3 linked regions of the Saccharomyces cerevisiae S288C genome follow. The protein of the gene in region 3 interacts with the protein of the main gene of each other region in a biochemical or structural test. Each region holds a gene or a part of one and is shown on either strand. Other genes may lie near its edges.

Region 1 (5,686 bases), on a different chromosome or scaffold from region 3:
ACAAAGGACTGTAAGGATGTCAGCATAATTAATTTCTAAAATTTGTTTTACCCATGTTGGCAATAAATGAAATGGGGCAAATGCTTGGAAGGTATTGTATATATACGCATGTTCTTCATAAGTCATTTGTCTTTTGATTTCACCCTGGTCATTTGGAATGATGTCACCGAGATTAGAGTTCTTCAAAAATCTGATGTAAAATTTAACCCATGTAGAAAAGTTTTCTTCTGATGTTAAAGTGTGTGGTGGTAAGACGTTATTTCCCACCTTTGTCTTAGCTTGAGGTATTTCAGAGTGTTGATTTTTTAAATCGATTGGATCAGGTGAGGAAGTACTCAGTGGTGGGATATACTGTGGCAACGGATAGTGTGGGTCCGGTTGATAATACGCAGGTGACGTTTGATAATGTGAACACGTCATCATAGATGGTTGTTGGTAATGTGCCCAGTTAGAGGCCATAGCTTTGTTTGGGGTCATCATGCCGTGCTGTTGGTACTGTCCATTCTGTGGAGGTGGTACTGAAGCAGGTTGAGGAGAGACATGATGATGGTTCTCTGGAACAGCTGATGTCCCAGGTGTTGTCTCTTGTTGAGAATTAACCTTAGTGGAATCTCTATCAAATTCCGGTAAATTGGAAGCTGAAACGGCTAACGGATCTTGATTTTATGGGACTTCCTTAGAAGTAACCGAAGCATAGGCGCTACCATGAAGAGAATGTGGATTTTGATGTAATTGTTGGGATTCCATTTTTTATAAGGCGATAATATTAGGTATGTAGATATACTAGAAGTTCTCCTCGAGGATTTAGGAATCCATAAAAGGGAATCTGCAATTCTACACAATTCTATAAATATTATTATCATCATTTTATATGTTAATATTCATTGATCCTATTACATTATCAATCCTTGCGTTTCAGCTTCCACTAATTTAGATGACTATTTTTCATCATTTGCGTCATCTTCTAACACCGTATATGATAATATACTAGTAACGTAAATACTAGTTAGTAGATGATAGTTGATTTTTATTCCAACAGTATTTATGTTTTGTCATTCTTTTCTACATAATCTTGAAACTAGGTAGATCTACAATTGAAAAGTAAATACTAACATTATTTACTAAATTTAAGTTAGAAATCGGCACGAAAAAAATTTGACAGATTACGAGAGTCCAGCCAAAATATGAGTATATTACTATTTCCCCTTGGTGAAAGAAATGAAAGATGTTATTTTTTACCGGCTTAGTAATACTGAGCTACTTACTTGGGGGAAAGAAAGATTGGCTACTTATTATGTATGAAGCCTCAGATTACCTTGAATTCCTCAACCGTTTGAGCAGTATGCTCTTCAAATTCGAACTTTTTGAACATCTTTCCTCCACATTCCTGATTTTTTCACATTCAAAACGCGCTGTGAAGCTGTTAGAAATTTACAGATCGAGGCATATTTCTATATATAATGTATTTTTATTAAGACACCCAAAGTACTTCCAATCTGTAGATATTGCACTTTATCTGACCAGAAGCCAGACTTGAACAGTTACATATTGTGCTTTGCAGTCGTTAAATTTCCCGAACTGTTTTCGTATTTTTTTTTCTTTTCCTCTTTTCCACTGGATCAGATCAAAAGCCGACTAAAAATTTGGCAATTTAAAGAAAGCATCTTTTAAAGATAGAAAAGGTTATTTCAACAAAAAAGTATCTTTTCTTCACTTTTCTTTCAACAATTCAAAGATGGCTAGAACCATAACTTTTGATATCCCTTCCCAATATAAACTCGTAGATTTAATAGGTGAGGGAGCGTACGGAACAGTATGTTCAGCAATTCATAAGCCTTCCGGCATAAAGGTAGCTATCAAGAAAATACAACCGTTTAGCAAAAAATTGTTTGTTACAAGAACTATACGTGAGATCAAGCTTTTACGGTATTTCCATGAACACGAAAACATAATAAGTATATTGGATAAAGTAAGGCCAGTATCCATAGACAAACTAAACGCTGTTTATTTAGTCGAAGAGTTGATGGAAACCGATTTACAAAAAGTAATTAATAATCAGAATAGCGGGTTTTCCACTTTAAGTGATGACCATGTTCAATACTTTACATACCAAATCCTCAGAGCCTTAAAGTCTATTCACAGTGCACAAGTTATCCATAGAGACATAAAGCCATCAAACCTGTTACTAAATTCCAATTGTGATCTCAAAGTCTGCGATTTTGGACTAGCGAGGTGTTTAGCTAGCAGTAGCGATTCAAGAGAAACATTGGTAGGATTCATGACGGAGTACGTCGCAACGCGATGGTACAGGGCACCCGAGATAATGCTAACTTTTCAAGAGTACACAACTGCGATGGATATATGGTCATGCGGATGCATTTTGGCTGAAATGGTCTCCGGGAAGCCTTTGTTCCCAGGCAGAGACTATCATCATCAATTATGGCTAATTCTAGAAGTCTTGGGAACTCCATCTTTCGAAGACTTTAATCAGATCAAATCCAAGAGGGCTAAAGAGTATATAGCAAACTTACCTATGAGGCCACCCTTGCCATGGGAGACCGTCTGGTCAAAGACCGATCTGAATCCAGATATGATAGATTTACTAGACAAAATGCTTCAATTCAATCCTGACAAAAGAATAAGCGCAGCAGAAGCTTTAAGACACCCTTACCTGGCAATGTACCATGACCCAAGTGATGAGCCGGAATATCCTCCACTTAATTTGGATGATGAATTTTGGAAACTGGATAACAAGATAATGCGTCCGGAAGAGGAGGAAGAAGTGCCCATAGAAATGCTCAAAGACATGCTTTACGATGAACTAATGAAGACCATGGAATAGTATTCACAAGAACATTTCTGCCATACTTCTAAAATTTCCCTATATTCAGCTTAGCAGTGACACGTTGTGGTCTGTAGGTCAATATGTAAGTAAGAAACTTCAACTCACATATGCACGATGCATGCCAATGGAAAAATGCAAGGAACGAAATGGCGCCACGGCAACAAGTTTTTTTTTTTCGCCAGCAGAAGTACACGAAATGCGGCTTCATGAGCCTCTTCACTGCTTTGCCTAAACGGGAAATGCAGAGAAAAACCAGCCATCGCGTGTGCTTGGAGAGCTGACGCGACTGTAATCAAAGAGGCGATATCAACACCTTTTATCCAGCACTATTCAACAGTGAATGGGCTCCCAAGTAAGTCTTGGCATTGTGCTTTCTATTCTTAAGTATTAAGTAGAAGTTTTGTTTACTGGGTTTGTTTATTCCTGGCTAGATGTTCGCATTCGTTTTCTAGTTGACCATATTTACCAAATATTCACAACTAATACCCAGCCAAGGTAGTCTAAAAGCTAATTTCTCTAAAAGGGAGAAAGTTGGTGATTTTTTATCTCGCATTATTATATATGCAAGAATAGTTAAGGTATAGTTATAAAGTTTTATCTTAATTGCCACATACGTACATTGACACGTAGAAGGACTCCATTATTTTTTTCATTCTAGCATACTATTATTCCTTGTAACGTCCCAGAGTATTCCATTTAATTGTCCTCCATTTCTTAACGGTGACGAAGGATCACCATACAACAACTACTAAAGATTATAGTACACTCTCACCTTGCAACTATTTATCTGACATTTGCCTTACTTTTATCTCCAGCTTCCCCTCGATTTTATTTTTCAATTTGATTTCTAAAGCTTTTTGCTTAGGCATACCAAACCATCCACTCATTTAACACCTTATTTTTTTTTTCGAAGACAGCATCCAACTTTATACGTTCACTACCTTTTTTTTTACAACAATTTCATTCTTCATCCTATGAAATGACGAAAATAACCAGAGATGTTTCGATAACGACAGAAAATTCAAAATCCACATCTGGATCGGCAACGGCTTCATCCGCATCTTTACCTGAGAACGACCACCCAATATTCCATCAACCGCGAGCAAGAATAAGATCTGGTTCGCTGTTCATCGAAGGATCTGATTCATTTCCATCATCAGAAGTGAAGTCATACAATGTTTATATTGATGATAGCAAGTATAGTGAAATCCTCAAAGGAGATACAAATTCAAGTAGTACTGATGGTAAACAAGTCTTTGAAGATGCTAGAGATGACAATTTCCATCAGGAATCACATAGAGATCTAGAGGATTCAATTTTAGATTTAGTACGACGAGATCCAGAAGTAGCAGCATTCCCTTTACCTCCGCCAAATTCAAATGAGAGGAACAGAAATTCCTCAAACGGGTCTTCCGCTGAAACTAACCTAAATGGACACAGCAGCAGCGGTACCATCTCTACTTCGGTGCTGTTGAATATGGGTTCGGCAGAAAAGCACGCTGGGACGACCAGAGGAGATCATATGGAATCATCTTCAATGAAATCCTTCGAGAAACTGGGAACCAGACCTTCTTCTTTATTCTATCCACCACCCGAAGGAACTGCGCCGTACCAGGGACCAAGGGCTACCGTCTCCGGAAATAAGTCTACAAGGCAAACACAAGGTACATACTCATTTCCTTCTATGCGGTATGGTGTAGATCTTGTTTCTCCTGTGGAAGGGGCTGTTGATGTAGCAAAAAGCAGAGTTCCTAACAGCACGCTAAATGGTACTTTTCCCGATAAAGCGTTTATCCCACATGAATTTCAAATTCCTAAAAAGGCCTGGAACAGAATACCAGCGAATAAGTCCACTAGCCTCAAAACCCCAAGAAACCATTCCCTATTAATTGACATATTAAAGCCTTTTGAAGCAGCTGACCTTGCTAATGACCAGCGAAGTTCTTCCGCTGTTTTAAAAAATACAGTGCATTCTAATGGGCAGTATAATCCAACTAATGAAACCTCTGGAACTCGAATGCAAGATCAAAGGCAGAAGAATACCAACGAAATTGATTTAGAGAAAATTCCTAATCCTCAAGTCCCTCTTGGTATCGCAATGGACACCATGCGTAGTCCAAACCAACTACACGAAAAGGAATACGAAAGTAATATAGAAGCTGGTTTAGCTTCTGGGGTCGGAAAAGGTGACAATAGTATTAAGCAACATCAATATAAAAAAATTCCTCAAGAAATTGATCGAGATCAGCAATTAAGTTTTCAAATGGAAACAATGCCCATTCAAAGAATAGATTCCTCCTCCATACGTTCATTTGATTCCCGAATATATGGCTTCTCCGAGATTTATAGTATTCCAAGGGTTATAACTACACTGTGCATCTGCCTTTTTGTTCCGCCCTTATTCTTTTTCTTTTCAATCAATGGAAATAATGGCGTTTCAAATTATAGATTAATGAGAATGATAATGAATTATGAACATAGAATCGGCCTCCTCAAAGGGTTTGAATGGGACATTGACGTACAATGGTTCAGGACATTGTGCTTTGTATTAGGATGTATAGAGATGTTAGCTATCTTTGCTAGCATAGGAATAGGATTTGGTGTGGGAATAATAAGAGAGTAACTCCATGCTGGACTTACTCGTCGAAGATTTCCTGCTACTCTCTATATAATTAGACACCCATGTTATAGATTTCAGAAAACAATGTAATAATATATGGTAGCCTCCTGAAACTACCAAGGGAAAAATCTCAACACCAAGAGCTCATATTCGTTGGAATAGCGATAATATCTCTTTACCTCAATCTTATATGCATGTTATTTGCTCTTATAATTGGTCTC
Region 2 (5,892 bases), on a different chromosome or scaffold from region 3:
TCTGCCTGTGAGTCTGTTTCAAATCTGTTGATTGCTACAACGACTGGTATTCCAAACGTTTTGATGTTTTCAATCTGCTTAACCAAATTACTAACACCCTTGGCAACAAAATCGATGTTTTCCTCTGTGTATTCTTTTGGTAATGATTGTCCGGGCTTAACATTTGGAGCACCTCCATGAGATTTCAAAGCTCTTACGGTTGCGACTAAGACAACTGCATCTGGCACCAATCCAGAGGAACGACATTTGATATCAAAGAATCTTTCACCACCCATGGCAAAATCGAATCCTGCTTCAGTAACTACATAACCAGGTTCATGGATGTTCTTGTCATTTAACGGGTTCTTTTCTGAACCAACAAGCTTCAATGCCATTAAGTCTGCAATTACTGATGATGCGCCGATGGAGATGTTGGCGAAAGGACCAGCGTGAACCATTACGGGGGTCCCTTCCAAAGTTTGCATTAAGTTAGGCTTTATAGCGTCACGTAATAATGCAGTCAGAGCACCGGTACAGCCAATATCTTCTACTGTTACTGGTTTGTTATCATAATCAGCACCAATAACCATGCGTCCAATACGTTCCTTCATCTCGTGTAAGCTTTTAGATAGAGCTAAAATGGCCATTAATTCAGAGGCAACAGTGATATCGAATCCAGTGGTCCTTGTAAAACCCTTCTCCGTAGCGGCTTCGCCAATGGTAATTTGTCTTAACATCCTGTCATTGATGTCGACAACTCTTCTGATAGTGATAGTATCGGGATTTATGTTCAATCTAGCAAATCTTTTGACTTCTTCAGGTGTTAAAGCATCAGGGTCTTCTTTTTCAATATCCAATCTTTTAAGCCTTCTCTGCATGGATGGGGTAAACTTTCTGATGCCTTTTTTTCTTGGAACTAGTCTCTTGTAAAATGTACTATCATTCTTCTGAGTGGCTTCATGGAACATTCTAGTGTCGATAGCTGCTGCAAGAAGATTGTTCGCAGCGCTGATAGCATGAATATCCCCGGTCAAATGTAAATTGAACTCGTCCATAGGAATAACTTGGGCATAACCACCACCAGCAGCACCACCTTTGACACCCAGGGTTGGGCCAAGAGATGGTTGTCTAACGTTCGCGATGGATGGTTTCCCTAAATGAGCGGATAAAGCCTGCACCAACCCCATAGTCGTAGTGGATTTACCTTCACCCAATGGAGTCGGAGTAATACCTGCAACAAGGACGTACTTACCGTTTTCTCTAGATTCTAATCTTTTAAAAATATTTGGAGAAATTTTTGCCTTATAGTGGCCGTATAATTCTAATTCGTGAGAGTGGATTCCCAACTCCTCGGCAACTTGCTTGATATGCTTAGGACTCTGAGCTCTTGATATATCAATATCTGAAGGCACTGGACTTTCTAAGTGTAATGGAAGAGGTTTGATAACTGGAAGCTTTTCAGATTCCACGAATTGCCTTTTAGCAGCTAATAGTACATTGGAAACAAGCATAGCGACAGTCATTGGACCCACTCCACCAGGAACAGGGGTAATATAAGATGTCTTTTCCTTTACAGAATCAAAATCAACATCACCAACTAATTTTTGCCCACTTTTCTTACTGATATCAGGTACGTAGTTGATACCTACATCAATAACCACGGCGCCTTCTTTAATCCAGTCTGATTTAACGTATTGAGGAATACCGCAAGCTGCGATAACTATATCAGCTTGGGAGACCACTTCTGCAATGTTCCTTGTATGACTATGACAGACAGTAACAGTGGCATTCGCATTTTTCAACAACGAAGCAATTGGATTTCCGACGATACTTGATCTGCCTAACACGACGGCGTTCTTACCATCTAACTTAACATGAGCTTCTTCAAGTAATTTCATGCAACCATAAGGAGTACATGGTATGAAGTATGGTTTCCCTCCTTTTTTAGCCAATTCACCAGCATTATATCTGTGGAACCCATCAACGTCCTTTTTAAAGTCCACAGCGTTTGTAATCGTGGTTTCATCCAAGTGACGCGGTAGAGGTAGTTGAATTAGCAACCCATGGATAGAGTCATCATCATTGATGTCACTAATTTTCTTCAAAAGCTCAACTTCAGTGATTTCTGCTGGTAACTTCTCTATGATACAGTCTACATTGCTGTCCTTTGAAGCTTTCAATTTCATCCTCACGTACGTAGATGAGTCTGGTCTGGCCCCGACTTGAATGATTTTCAAGGTAGGCTTGAAATTAGGATGCTTAAGCTTAATGGCTTGTATCTCATCATTGGCTTTTTCTCGAATAGATTGAGCAAGTTTCCTACCAGAAAGAATATGGTATTGAGAAGCATGCACAGTTGGCGAAACTTTTAAGCGGTAAATGCGCCATCTGGCCTGTTGGAACGCCCTCGAGTTACTCAATAAAGATAGTCTCGACAACATTTCCTTTTAGCCTTAAATATCTGACAAATGAACAGACTGAGAGAATCACAGTAATGAAAGTTGTTTTTTGATGTGTATTGGCTGGTTTACTTCTGCAATTCTTGAGGCATCGAGAACCGCTGCAACATTATTTCGGAGGAAAAAGAAAAAAAATCGCTGTCCGTTGAAGTGAAAAAAATTTCAGCATGGCGCTAGAGAACTTTCTTACTCGTTCTGGCGCGTCAGTAAAAAAGAACTCGGGAAACAATAAGAACCATACATGTGCGATAGAAGAGTGTTGCAGGAGTAGCTTTGGTTTTGTTCGAGAACTGGTAATGTTTGACTAATACATAATTGTACCGTGCTCAATCATATCTGTGACGGTTCTTACTACGAAGATACGTATGCGTATTTATGTACGAGATGTATGTATGTATGTAGACATTTAATAAAAGTTCCCATGCGATTGGTTGGATGGCGTAAAGTTCCTTTGATGTGGAGAATGTTCGTAATGCTGGGGTGATGATAATAACAGCTGCGAAAAATAAGATGTTTGGTACTGGGGCAGACCTTGAATATAATTGGCATTGTAAGCATCTTCAGCAGGTCTTGGATACATGGGCCTTCCTCGTACTTTGGAGAGTGAGTAGGGCATTCCATTATTCTTGTAGTATGGCACTGGTCTGCTTTGGAGTTGTGTGACTGTGGCTGATCTTGGGACTACTTCTTCCTCCGATTCGTACTCTGAACCGGAATTGGAATTGGAACTGAACTCAGGATTACTTTCATGTTCTTGTATGCGGGAAATTCTTTGGTATTTGTTGATTATCTTTCTCTGCTCTATTTCGATTTTTTTTGCACTCTCCAGGATTGCCTTCTTGTTGGAAAAGCTAGCCTTATTGGGGCGATCTCCCTGGTGGAGTTCCGTGGGGGAAAGTTGTTCAAGAGGCCTCTTTGACGGAACGCACTTGTAGCCGTCTATGTTTTCATAAATGTGCTTAGCGTAAATGAGGGGGGTTTTGGCTTGAGATGCAGCATTAGTTTTTATGAAATTTTCAATTTTTTTCTCGTTGGAAGCAGTGATTGGCGTAAGCAGTTTTGAATGTACTGACAATCCACTGCTATTATTACTTACATAGAGGTTTTTAGGGGTTAAACTTCCAGAATCACTGACTGAAGGTAGAGAGTCGATAATTTCTTCAAATATGTCATAAAACAGGTTTGAGTTTTCAGTAGTTTGTTCAGCGCCATGTTCGATAAGGTGTAGAAGCTCCTTCTCCTTTGATGATAGGGTCAGCGAGTCCTTGATTTTGTTTTGTATGGTCTTCTTCCAGACTTGAATATGGGAAGAAATTTGCTTTTTGGTTCTGAACTCGTTGGTTTTGTGCTTGATATATAATGAAATCAGCTCGTTTCTTCCAAAATTGGCATTTCTTATTTTTATTTTTGTGGTCCCATTTTTCATTATCAGTCTAAGTGCCTCAAGGAATGCCTCTTCTACCTTTTCTGACCACTTATCACAACCGATAGTCCAAGATTCCGTTGTTGACGACGTTTCGCTACTTTGTCCGGGAAAGTAGTTGCTCACAGATATATTTGGTACTTCATTCTTCCTCTGCTTGTCAGTGAACGTAGCCTTTGCTGATGGAGATTTCAAATCGTCCGATTTAGCACCCAGTCCAGTATTTACCAGTTCGAATTGAGGATGCGTGTCTATGAGATTGATGTTATCCTCCGCTTCATTTTTCACACAAGCGGCGGTTGAAACTACGGCTTCTGGAAACATATCATCCAAGGCCGACTGTGAATACGAATCTTTTTGTATATATACGTCAAAAATTCTACCAGTATATGATTCTATATTTCTAGAATTATCCTTGCCAAAGTCGTCTTCTTTAAGACTCATGGTTAAACAGGTATCAGAATTGTTGAAATAGGTGGATTATTCTTCTTGTCGATATGGGAGGAATCTGGCACCAGTCGAAGAATCTCCTGTTTCATAAACATTTATAAAAGTAAGAAAAGGGTTGTCATATGTAAAAAATTAAGCAAGCCTTTTGTTTCAAACTTAATATATACCTCTGCGGGGGAATTACTTTTTTGGTAATAAGCTATTTTCTCCAGCTATGGGCCGTACCATCGAGAGAAACTCCAGCACCATGGATTGCTGATGGTAGCTACAGGTGCTTTTTAACTGTGCATGAGCCAAGAGCCTTGTGAGGGACCATTCGTGGAGTCCAGCTCAGCTTGTTTCCGGAGAGTTTCCCAGAATAATAAGCAAACGCAATCTGAAACACGCACATTCCCGAATTCAATGGGAAATTCTTTGAGTCGTACGCGGAATGCGAGCGGTGCCGGGGAATTCCAATGAGGCTGATTAAACCGGACTACGGGCAAAATGGCTCATCTGAAACACCTTGCGCCGATAAAAGACCCTCACCTGTGTCACTAAATGGAAAGAGTTGGCGTAAAATCTTCCTGTAAAAGGATCTCACCATTTTGGCCTAAAACATCATCATATCTGTTTTCGTGGAAAAAAAAGGCCGCTCATACATGAATACAGTGGGCACATGCCACCTGTTATTCCATAGCTGGCTTTACTGTAATATTAGAATAGTTCCTATCTGTGTGAAAAGTTTCTTTCGTTACCTTTTTTTCAGAGTCAAAAGCTGGAGGAGGCTATTGTACTTGCCTGTAGTTCCAGGTAACAATCGCTTAAGCAGTGAGCCCGCTTAATGAGAGCAAGTTATATATGTTTTGCTAAAACCTGCCAGATTCTCAGCCTAGAAGATATAAATCTAACGTGGATTTGTTACAGGCTGTCATACCTTATGTACTTACGCATCGTATCTTGTATGTGTTCACTTTTTTCTGGTAACTACACCACTTGGCTTAACCTTGCCAGGAACCGAGTAGGCCACACATGTTTTGAATATTGTAAGTGTGTACAATAAGCTGCAGTACTCTTTTGATTCTGTAGGAAACCAGCGAAGAACGTACTCTTGCCTGAAGAGAAGTTTTTTTTATTTATTTATATTTTGTTCTGGAAGCTCTTTACAGAATGGAGTAGGAAAATATATAGAGAGGAAAAGCGAAATCGTTACGAGAATAAATAATCAAGAAAAGAAACTTGAACTTGGCTTTTCCAAAACAACAGAAGTAGCGTTAATTTACTTTCACCGTAAAATTCAACTCTTTAAATATAGTCCACTTAGTAAATTCTTGCCAATTTGCATGATAAATTCGAACCCATTCCTCAAAATAAAGGGTCCTCATACATTCCATGGAAAGAAAGTTTTCTTGAACATTAAGAATAAAAAGGCAAAAAAGAAAAAAAAAAGCACAGCTACTGTTTTAGTCAACATTCCTTTCTCACTGGAATGCACAAGGTGTCATTCCTGAACAAGGGTAACTGCACTATTCATATGTCCACCTTATGACTTCATAAAAAGTTTGACAATAAGTAGTCTTACGTGATAAGAAATGATGTAAC
Region 3 (9,555 bases):
ACCTTTTTCTTTTTTGATTACAACTTTTAACTATTATGAACATCGATGCCTTCACCTTATAATTAGGAATCTCGCTTTTTCTGGTGGAAAAATTTTCCGATGGCCTTTGCCATTCTGAAAAATAAAAGGCAATACTACGTTGGTATCAAAATAGTGGATAAACACATATTGTAATACTAAGCGATCATGTAGTTTTGGAGGTCATGTTAAGAAACTCATTGATATTTATATTACATACTGTGACGCTAGATAAATCACATATATAAAGGTATTATATTATATTATCTTTTTCTTTTTTTTTTTTTGTTATTTTCTAACGTTAATAGATTTGTTACATTTATTACCTTTTTTTCTTGCTTTTTGTTTGCTCTAGTCTTGTATAAGATTGTTTTATTTATAAAAACAGATTGTCCTTGTTGTTTTCTTCTGAGTATTGTTTAATATTAAATTCTGGCCCGCATTTTTAATTCTTGTATCATAAATTCAAAAATTATATTATATCAGGTTGCATCTGGAAGGTTTTTATCGGACCTTCGATTGGTATCTACCTCAAGTGAATGAGCTCCACCTTCTTCTGACTGGACCACCAAAGTATTGGAATCCGGAGTAGGCATCGAAATTTCTTTGTTCTTATCAGGATGAGCAGAATCTTCGTCACCAGCACTTGGCCTGGCTTTCGTTTCCAAGTTGATTTTGTATTGCTTCTGATAAGCACTTGTCTTAATATGTAGAGGCTTTGAAATTTTTGCAGACTTGCCCACAGATTGTTTATTACCTGTTGGAACATTTCCTTGTGAAGACTTCATTCCCACAGTTCTTCGCCGTGGGTATTGATTTATATTTTGAGAATAAAATGTGCTAGGAGGATAGTTTTTAGCAGTTGTAGATGGTGCTCTCGAACTATAAGGTGAAACAGCAGTGTTCCACTGCATGGAATTTGAACTTTGCATGTATGGGAACATCGCGGAACCTGGTGTCGATCTATAATTCGGTGTGTATGGTCTCCCAACATAGGTTGGAGCTGGTTGCATAGCTTGAGGGGGCAAAACATTCCATGAAGTTGCAGTTTGTGGATACAGCATATTGTTATCACATCCTTCTGGTGGAAAGAAAAAATCGTCCGCGCCATAAAAGGCTTGATCGAGTAGAGGATCCCCCCCCATGGGATTATACGGCATTTTTGGGTAGTATCCTGGAACCATTCCGTTTGGGTAAGATTGCTGGAAGTTGTTAGAATATAATTGGTGTTGTTTAGTTTGCTGGCCAGAGTTGTGAGATTTTGCATTTGTACAGTTTTCATTTGGCCGAGATTCATCAAAATCCATAACTGGTTCGTCATACTTCATGTAGCTGGTAGGGTCGCTAGGAGATACCAATTTTTCCTTGTTATTGTTAGATGAATAAAAATCCCGATTTGTCATAAAATGTTGCCTCGATGATGATGGTGGCACTGGGAAAGTGGGTGCCACTGATAACTGATAGGGGTATCTATTAAGAAGAGAATTAACGGGCATAGAATCCCTTTCATTCACGTTATCATAGGAAATAGGCATGGAAGGGGCAGCTGGCGTAAAAGCCTGTGGAGGGAACGGATCAAACGCATTTTCCTCCGTAGGGTATTCAACAGATACAGGAAAATAGTCGAGAGGAAAATCTTCTTCGTCTCTGCCCTTAGCGGTATTCTTGGGTAAGTCATGAGGCGTTTCTTCTGTGAGACCATTCAATTCGAGAGTATTGGGTTCTATAATCAATTTCTGAGGAATAAAATCATTAATTTGAGAGGGGGATTCTGGCGCATCGTCATCCATGAGGCCAACGCCTAAAAGCGGCTGATTAGTTACTGTTACCAACTCATTATCCTTAAAATTCTCGCTTTCTAATTTTGGAGGCGAATTATCTGATTTTGTTGTACTAGATGGTCTTCTAGAATCTAAATGTTGAAGTAACTGATCGTAGAGAGGCTTATCAGATGAGGAATCATATGAAAAAGATAAGGCGGGCTCATTAACGGGCTTAGTCGTTGAAGGCTGATTCAAACTTTCTCTTTTTAAATCTCTTTCCAACGCATCCGCAAACAACTTATCATGTGCTACACTGAACCAAAAAAATACTTTCTGCTTTTTTTGGGTTTTCAGACACATATTTCTGAATAGAAACGACAAAAATTCGGACTTTGGTTGTTCTAAAGTTGCATCTATACCACATTTGAGATTTCTTAAATCTGAAAAAATACCCTCTTCAAATTTTTTCTTTTGAACTACTTCTCTCCCAAACTTTTGCATTCTGTAAAGACAACATTTGACAATATCAGTACCTGTAATATAGTATAGATTGTTCCAAAATACACAAGAGACAAAGCCTTGTCCACTATTCAGATAGTATCGCCTTATAATTTGGTTTTCTTGCCAATTTACCGGCGCTGTGGCTAAAAAGAATTTTAGATCGCCGATTAACCTTAGCGATTCTTCAACTTCGCCCGGAGTAGCTTTACTGACTTCATCGTTTTCATTATTAGCTTGAACTTTTAAGATTTCCTCTGTTCTACTATTGGTTATTTGGACTTTCATCCTTGGTGAACAAGACAATTCAAATAAAGAAAGCGGTTCCGCTATAAAAGTGTGTTTTCTTCGACGAGTCTTGTTTGAGAAATATCAATATCCACTCTAGGTCTCGCTTGGGACACTTATAAAACAAGTCTTCAGTGCTTACCTGTTATCTTTTCCTATTTTATGAATGGCACGAACGTCTCAAAAAAGTCAACTAAAAAGAAGTAATCTAATTGTAAAAGGAACGTAGTGGTACTATGTGCGAGAAAACTAGCGTACGAGTACTTCGATTTATGGTGTCGAGACCTGACCGCGAAGAGTTGTTCAATCTTTTTTAGGCTGTTTTGTATTAGTTTTGATATATCTTAAGATGTTGCAAATTCGTTTCTTTTAAAACAATTTTTATCTGTTTCACTTTTTCTATTGAGACGAAAACGGACAACGGCGTTTGTTTCATTTTGAAACGAGCTCTCCGAAAAGAAATGCTGTGTTTCAAATTATGCAACACTCTAGAGTTCATATATTTATACACACGAAAACTTCATCTATATCGTTTACATACTACAGCTTGAAAGTGATTACTGAACGAAGTTCTTCAGGGTGTCTTGTGCAAACTGGACCAATTCTTTACATTCGTTTTCAACAAATGTCTTTAGCTTTATGGGTTCCTTAACGTTCGTTATACAAAGAATGTAACTTGCAATTTTCAGATGTAAGTAAGTGGGTTGCCCGTCGCTTTTCAACATATCTTTTAAACCTAAAAGAACTTGCTTGCTATTCTCGAACAAAACGTTCAAGACCTGCTCTTGATTAACGGAGTTGTGATGGTTGTGATAAACTCCTTGCATACTCTTGACGATTTCTCGATGGCGGAACTGGAACTTGTTCCGCTTTGTTAGGGATATCTTCAAACTCTTTGCGGACAACTTCTGTAATAAAGAGTTTTCTACGTCCAATGGAGTGACTATCGAACCACTTAACTTCTGGCAAGAGTACAATTCCATGAATTGCGCATCTGAGGCACAGAAAATTATTTGCGTGATCCAACAATCGTACAGCACGGTATCCAGCAACGTATAGTACATCAACTGCTCAGCATCATCAAGTATCCGAGACCTCATAATTTCGCTGATTGCCACGGTGGATCTTATAATTCTCTTCTTGTAACCCTCAACTAGAATAGGTAGGGCCTCATCGGGGTTAGAAAGACGGGACAGAACGAGCATTTCATGGTTACAGGTATGCGATGGGGTTTGTTCCTGCGAGTGCGTGGGTAAGACTAGACCATTCTTTTGACACAGCGCAAGCTGAACAAACAGACACCATGGATCTGTGGCCAATGCCGCCCCTGTATTTGCCTCCAAAAAAACGTTGTAAACACCTAGCTTGTACGTCCCCTCCACAGTCAACTCAGAGCTTCCACCACCGCGTTCTGTGAATGTGTAGGACCTCCGCTGTATTTCTAATGCAACGGCCTCGTCCTTGTCAGTCTGCGCAGCATATGTTTGTAACGGAAATGTGTCAAATATCCGTTTTACTGGCATGGGAACACTGAATGAACTTACCATTGTGCACGATGGCTTCGTTTTAGCCCTATATGAGACGACATACAAGAGGCCTTCACACCATTTATTTCAGCATTCACTTCTAAATATCGTCCCGTTACCCTCATCGCTACTGCCGGGCGTTCCCAACCCCTTCCGAGGCAGATTATATTTATTTATCTTTTTAACAATTTGTCCCTATATAGGCGGGCCGAACACAGCACGTGAAAGAACTCTCAGGCTTCCACAACAGGCCATATCAAGTCCACACTTCCCTCATTACTAGCATTTTTACACAAGCAGTCCACGCATTCCGCAACAGTGTTCACCTTTCTTTTCCCTAACTTATCTTATTATTTGTTTGTTGATCGCAAACAGACCCTTTTTTTTGGTGAGCGCATTTTACACAGTCTCAAGTGTCCTCTACTATAAAAATACAACCTCAAACAGTACTTACTGGCGTCCGCAGAATATTACTGCACTCTCAATCTGTAAAGAATATAACAAGTGACCCATTCCCTTGTTTTATTCAACTTCGAAATCTCTCTGGCTATCTTTGCATGCTTATCTAACTTTCACGTGACCCGGATATTGTTCTCTGCTCAAAAAAGAACTGCAAAGAAGGAAATAGAAAAATAGCATACAGGCTCAAAGCTATAGTTTTCTGAAAAGGGACACCACGAATACAGTAGTATCAAAGAGAAAAAAGACTTCTTTATACTTACAGAAGGTTCATTTTCTGATTCTACTCTTCCAATCTAGTGTCGCAAAAAAACAAAACTTACTGGTATTAGCTGGCAAAAAAAAAAAGAATAGGTTATAATTAAAGACATCTTTTCTCTATAAATTTTTTCTTAGAAGAAAAAGCCAAAAAAAAAAAACCTGCTTCATACCCGCCATCAAATCTTATAGGCCTTATAGACTGCATATTACCGGATTCTTTCTCTCCGTTAACCCTACTATTCTTTCACTATACTTTAACCTAAAATAAAAAAGGAAAAAAAAAATTAAAAACTTCCAAAAACTTAGAAATTTCAAATACAAAACAAAAAGACACGTAAAGTTAGTGCAATATTTTTTTCTTACAATTTTTTGAAACTCGATGACTTTAGATTACGAGATTTACAAAGAAGGAGGTATTTTGAATAATCGATATCAAAAAATAGAGGATATCAGTGAAGGTTCATATGGTTATGTATCATTGGCTAAAGATGTTAGAGAGAAAAGATTGGTTGCAGTCAAATACATTTTCAAATTAGAAGATGACGGCCAGTACGATGGGCCTCAGGACGACGAAAATGATTGTGATAGTAGCGATTGTGATGATGATGAAGACACGAAAGTTGATACGGATCGCCATGAAAATGAAAATGGTAATGCCTCCAGTAATAACGGGTCAAGTAGAGAGAAGAAACACAATCTCTACAAACACAAAAAGTCCCTAATTTCTTCGAAAGTTAAATCAAGACTATCTAATAACATTTGTCTCGAAGCCATGTATGAAGTTGATATTCAAACAAAAATTGGTAGACACCAAAATATTGCTGCTCTATTAGATTTCTTCGACTCTTACATCATCATGGAATATTGCTCTGGCGGTGACCTATATGAGGCGATCAAAGCCGATGCTGTGCCTAAGAAAACCAAATCGATCACTCATATTATCACACAAATCATGGATGCAATTGAATATGTTCATAACAAGGGCATTTATCATCGTGATATAAAACCTGAGAACATTTTAATTTCTGGAATTGATTGGACAATTAAGCTTACAGATTGGGGATTGGCTACTACAGATAAGACGTCTATGGATAGAAATGTCGGTAGTGAAAGATATATGTCCCCTGAACTTTTTGATAGTAATTTGGATATCAAGGAAAGAAAGGAACCTTATGACTGTGCCAAAGTGGATTTATGGGCTATGGGAATTGTGTTTCTTAATATTGTTTTCCATAAGAATCCTTTTAGTATTGCCAATCAATCCGACAAGTCATTCTGTTATTTTGCTGCTAATAGAGAAGCGTTGTTTGATGTATTTTCGACAATGGCTTATGATTTCTTTCAAGTATTAAGGTATAGTTTAACCATCGATCCGGCTAATAGAGACTTGAAAATGATGAGAACTGAACTACAGAACTTATCTGAGTATACATTAGACGATGAATACTATAATAACTTGGATGAAGGATATGAAGAAACTATGATTGACGGTTTGCCACCTCAGCCTGTTCCTCCATCTTCAGCACCGGTATCATTACCTACTCCTATTTCATCTAGTAACAAACAACATATGCCTGAATTTAAAAAGGATTTCAATTTCAATAATGTGAATGAAAGGAAACGGTCAGATGTCTCTCAAAATCAAAATGTTGCAAGCGGCTTCTTTAAAAAACCGTCTACACAACAACAGAAATTTTTCAACCAGGGTTATAATACAACACTATCTACTCATGAAAGGGCTAAATCTGCTCCTAAGTTCAAATTTAAGAAGCGCAATAAGTACGGAAGAACTGATAATCAATTTTCCAAACCAGTCAATATCGAAGATAGAAAGAAAAGTAAAATTTTGAAAAAATCAAGGAAGCCTCTTGGCATACCAACGCCTAATACACACATGAATAATTTTTTCCACGATTACAAAGCAAGGGATGAATTCAACACCAGAGATTTTTTCACTCCTCCAAGTGTCCAGCACAGGTATATGGAGGGGTTTTCCAACAACAACAATAAACAGTACAGACAGAATCGTAATTACAACAATAATAACAACAACAGCAATAACAATCATGGAAGTAATTATAATAATTTTAACAATGGTAATAGCTATATAAAGGGTTGGAACAAAAACTTTAACAAATACAGAAGACCAAGTTCCTCCAGTTATACCGGTAAGTCACCACTTTCAAGGTACAACATGAGCTATAATCATAACAACAATAGTTCTATAAATGGTTATGCAAGGCGTGGTTCTACGACTACAGTTCAACATTCACCAGGCGCTTATATTCCACCAAATGCCAGGAACCATCACGTAAGCCCAACGAATCAGTTTTTAAGAGTTCCGCAATCAACTGCTCCTGATATCTCTACCGTTTTAGGTGGGAAGCCTTCATACCAGGAACACTACACTCAGGATAGTATGGATTCTGAGGGCGATCACGATTCAGACGACGTTTTATTCACTCTTGAAGAAGGTGATCATGATTTCGTCAATGGTATGGACAACTTATCTATAAATGATCACTTACCGCATACAACGGTAGGTAGCCATAATGAAGTATTTGTTCACGCAAGCACTAATCACAATAACAATGGCAACAACAACCATATCGACACCAATAGTACCACTAATCAATATCATAGACAATATATTCCACCTCCTTTGACAACATCATTGCATATCAACAATAACAATAATGAATCTAATGAACTACCAGATTTACTAAAATCACCAGCATCATCTGAAGCACATTTAAATTTATCTTCTGGACCAATTGATCCAATTTTAACAGGTAATATTGGCAATCGATATTCACACTCATCTGACTCTAAGGAGCTAGAGCAGGAGCGTAGACTCAGTATGGAACAAAAATTTAAAAATGGGGTTTATGTTCCACCTCATCATAGGAAGAGTTTCAACTTGGGAACACAGGTACCTCCTATGAATATGAAGACAAGTAACGAGGCCACGTTGTCAGTTTCGCATAATTCTGTTAATTTTGGTGGATCTTACAATTCCAGGCGTTCCAGTGCTAATGAATCTAACCCACTGCATATGAATAAAGCACTCGAGAAGTTGTCCTCTTCACCAGGAGCTAAAAGCTCCTTCGTTGGCTTCCCTAAACCTTTATTACCTCGTAATCATTCAAGCACTACGATTGCGTTGCAAAATGAAGACGTATTCGCAGACTCTAACAATGACGCCATAATTTTCGAAGACGAAGAATACGAAGGAGAAAGTGACAAGATGGCACATGGCAAAATGGAAGGTGGTGACAACGAATCCTCGTCAACCTCCCCGGATGAAAGGCAAATTTTCGGTCCTTATGAAATTTATGCTCAAACTTTCGCTGGCTCCACTCACGATAAAAAATTAGGAGCTGGCAGGAAGACAAGTATTCAGGATGAAATGGTCGGATCGTTAGAACAATACAAGAATAATTGGTTAATTTTACAGCAACAAGACTAAGCGCACCTATTCCCTCTGTTATGTTGCTTATTATTTTCTTCCCTTCTGAAATGCATTTTTAGCTTTTTTCATCAATTTGGCATCATCGTGCATTTCAACTTCTAAGTATGAATGCTTTTTGGTAGTTAAGCTTGAAGGGTTTTATGAAAACTCTCTTTTCTTAGATATTTCTACAGTCTTATATAACGTCAATTCACACAAAAGTGTTCACTGCCAACTACAAGAATAGCATATACACATATTAGTTACTTCAACGAGTTCTTATTGTTATTATAAAAGTATATAAACCCTATAAGCATTTTTGCATTTGTGCTCTCACATCACCTTTAATCATTTTTTCACTCATGTACCAGTATACGTCGACCTCTACTTCTTCCCTCCTTTCTTTTTTCCAACTTTATCCAATCTTTTACTTTTCTTACTACTTGCTTTCCTTATATGATCGGTACTGTCAATAATCTTAGTCGTTGTACTCTCTGCCAGTTCATCGTTTTCAAATTTCGTATGCTTCCCTTGAAAGTTGCTCCTGCTTATAGAGGGCTCGAATTGGTTTTTATTACCGTCCAAAACATTGGAAATGATATTCTTAGCTTTTTCTTGCTCTGCCTGCGATTTTTCGTTGGATTTGGTTATCCTATTATCGTATTGTTTAGCCTTATCCATGTATGATTTTACTCTTTTCAGTTCGCCGAGTATAGGAGACATATCTTTGACGCCTAGGACTTTCATATTAGCAAACATCAGAGAACTCAATACATACGCGTAACGATTAATTAGTTCTAATTTAGCCCTCTCATCAGATAATAGCAACAGCTGTTCATCCAGTGACTTCGACGTTAGTTTCTCTATTTCTGGTTTCAGCTCGTCTAACGCCTTTGAAAAACTCCTAACGTATGGTTTTATCTTTTCGATATCTTCCATTACTGATCTAATACTCCGTTACGTTGCTAGATATATGTTTATATTAATCGATTTCTACTGTAGGCTGTTAACCAGTTTTTTCTTCCACAGACTACAGAAGGCACAGTCCATAACCATCTGCCTTAGCTCATCGCTGAAAAACTGCACGAGAATTCGTGAAACGTGACATGTTGGGTACCCGCATGAATAGAAAATATGCTAGTAACGACTCTTCTTTACATTCCCATTGCTGGTGTATGTACGCTGATATGAAAATGCTTGCCCAATAAATACCAAGGTTATGACGTTGCCGCTTTGTATTGTCTTCTAATCTAAAAATCTTTCCACGCCAGTAGTGGCTGGCTTTATGCGG

The links.
Region 1: the proteins of STE12 (region 3) and KSS1 form a complex in vitro, tested with the Saccharomyces cerevisiae proteins (4 studies listed by BioGRID, with this or other methods).
Region 2: the proteins of STE12 (region 3) and TEC1 form a complex in vitro, tested with the Saccharomyces cerevisiae proteins (4 studies listed by BioGRID).

What each region holds. Positions count from the first base shown.
Region 1 is NC_001139.9:573,663-579,348, forward strand, and holds KSS1 (mitogen-activated serine/threonine-protein kinase KSS1), read left to right. Parts: upstream 1-1,735; coding exon 1,736-2,842; downstream 2,843-5,686. Other genes in the region: YGR039W (uncharacterized protein), read left to right, coding at 1,226-1,537; BUD9 (Bud9p), read left to right, coding at 3,825-5,468. UniProt on the Saccharomyces cerevisiae protein: Together with closely related FUS3, KSS1 is the final kinase in the signal transduction cascade regulating activation/repression of the mating and filamentation pathways, induced by pheromone and nitrogen/carbon limitation, respectively.
Region 2 is NC_001134.8:407,582-413,473, reverse strand, and holds TEC1 (Tec1p), read right to left. Parts: upstream 4,306-5,892; coding exon 2,845-4,305; downstream 1-2,844. Other genes in the region: trifunctional formate-tetrahydrofolate ligase/methenyltetrahydrofolate cyclohydrolase/methylenetetrahydrofolate dehydrogenase MIS1, read right to left, coding at 1-2,420. UniProt on the Saccharomyces cerevisiae protein: TEC1 is involved in the activation of TY1 and TY1-mediated gene expression. It is not involved in mating or sporulation processes.
Region 3 is NC_001140.6:267,186-276,740, reverse strand, and holds STE12 (homeodomain family transcription factor STE12), read right to left. Parts: upstream 2,568-9,555; coding exon 501-2,567; downstream 1-500. Other genes in the region: SAM complex subunit SAM35, read right to left, coding at 3,125-4,114; putative serine/threonine protein kinase KSP1, read left to right, coding at 5,193-8,282; LRP1 (Lrp1p), read right to left, coding at 8,649-9,203. UniProt on the Saccharomyces cerevisiae protein: Binds to the DNA sequence mediating pheromone induction (called the pheromone response element = PRE) which is found in the upstream control region of several a-, alpha- and haploid-specific genes.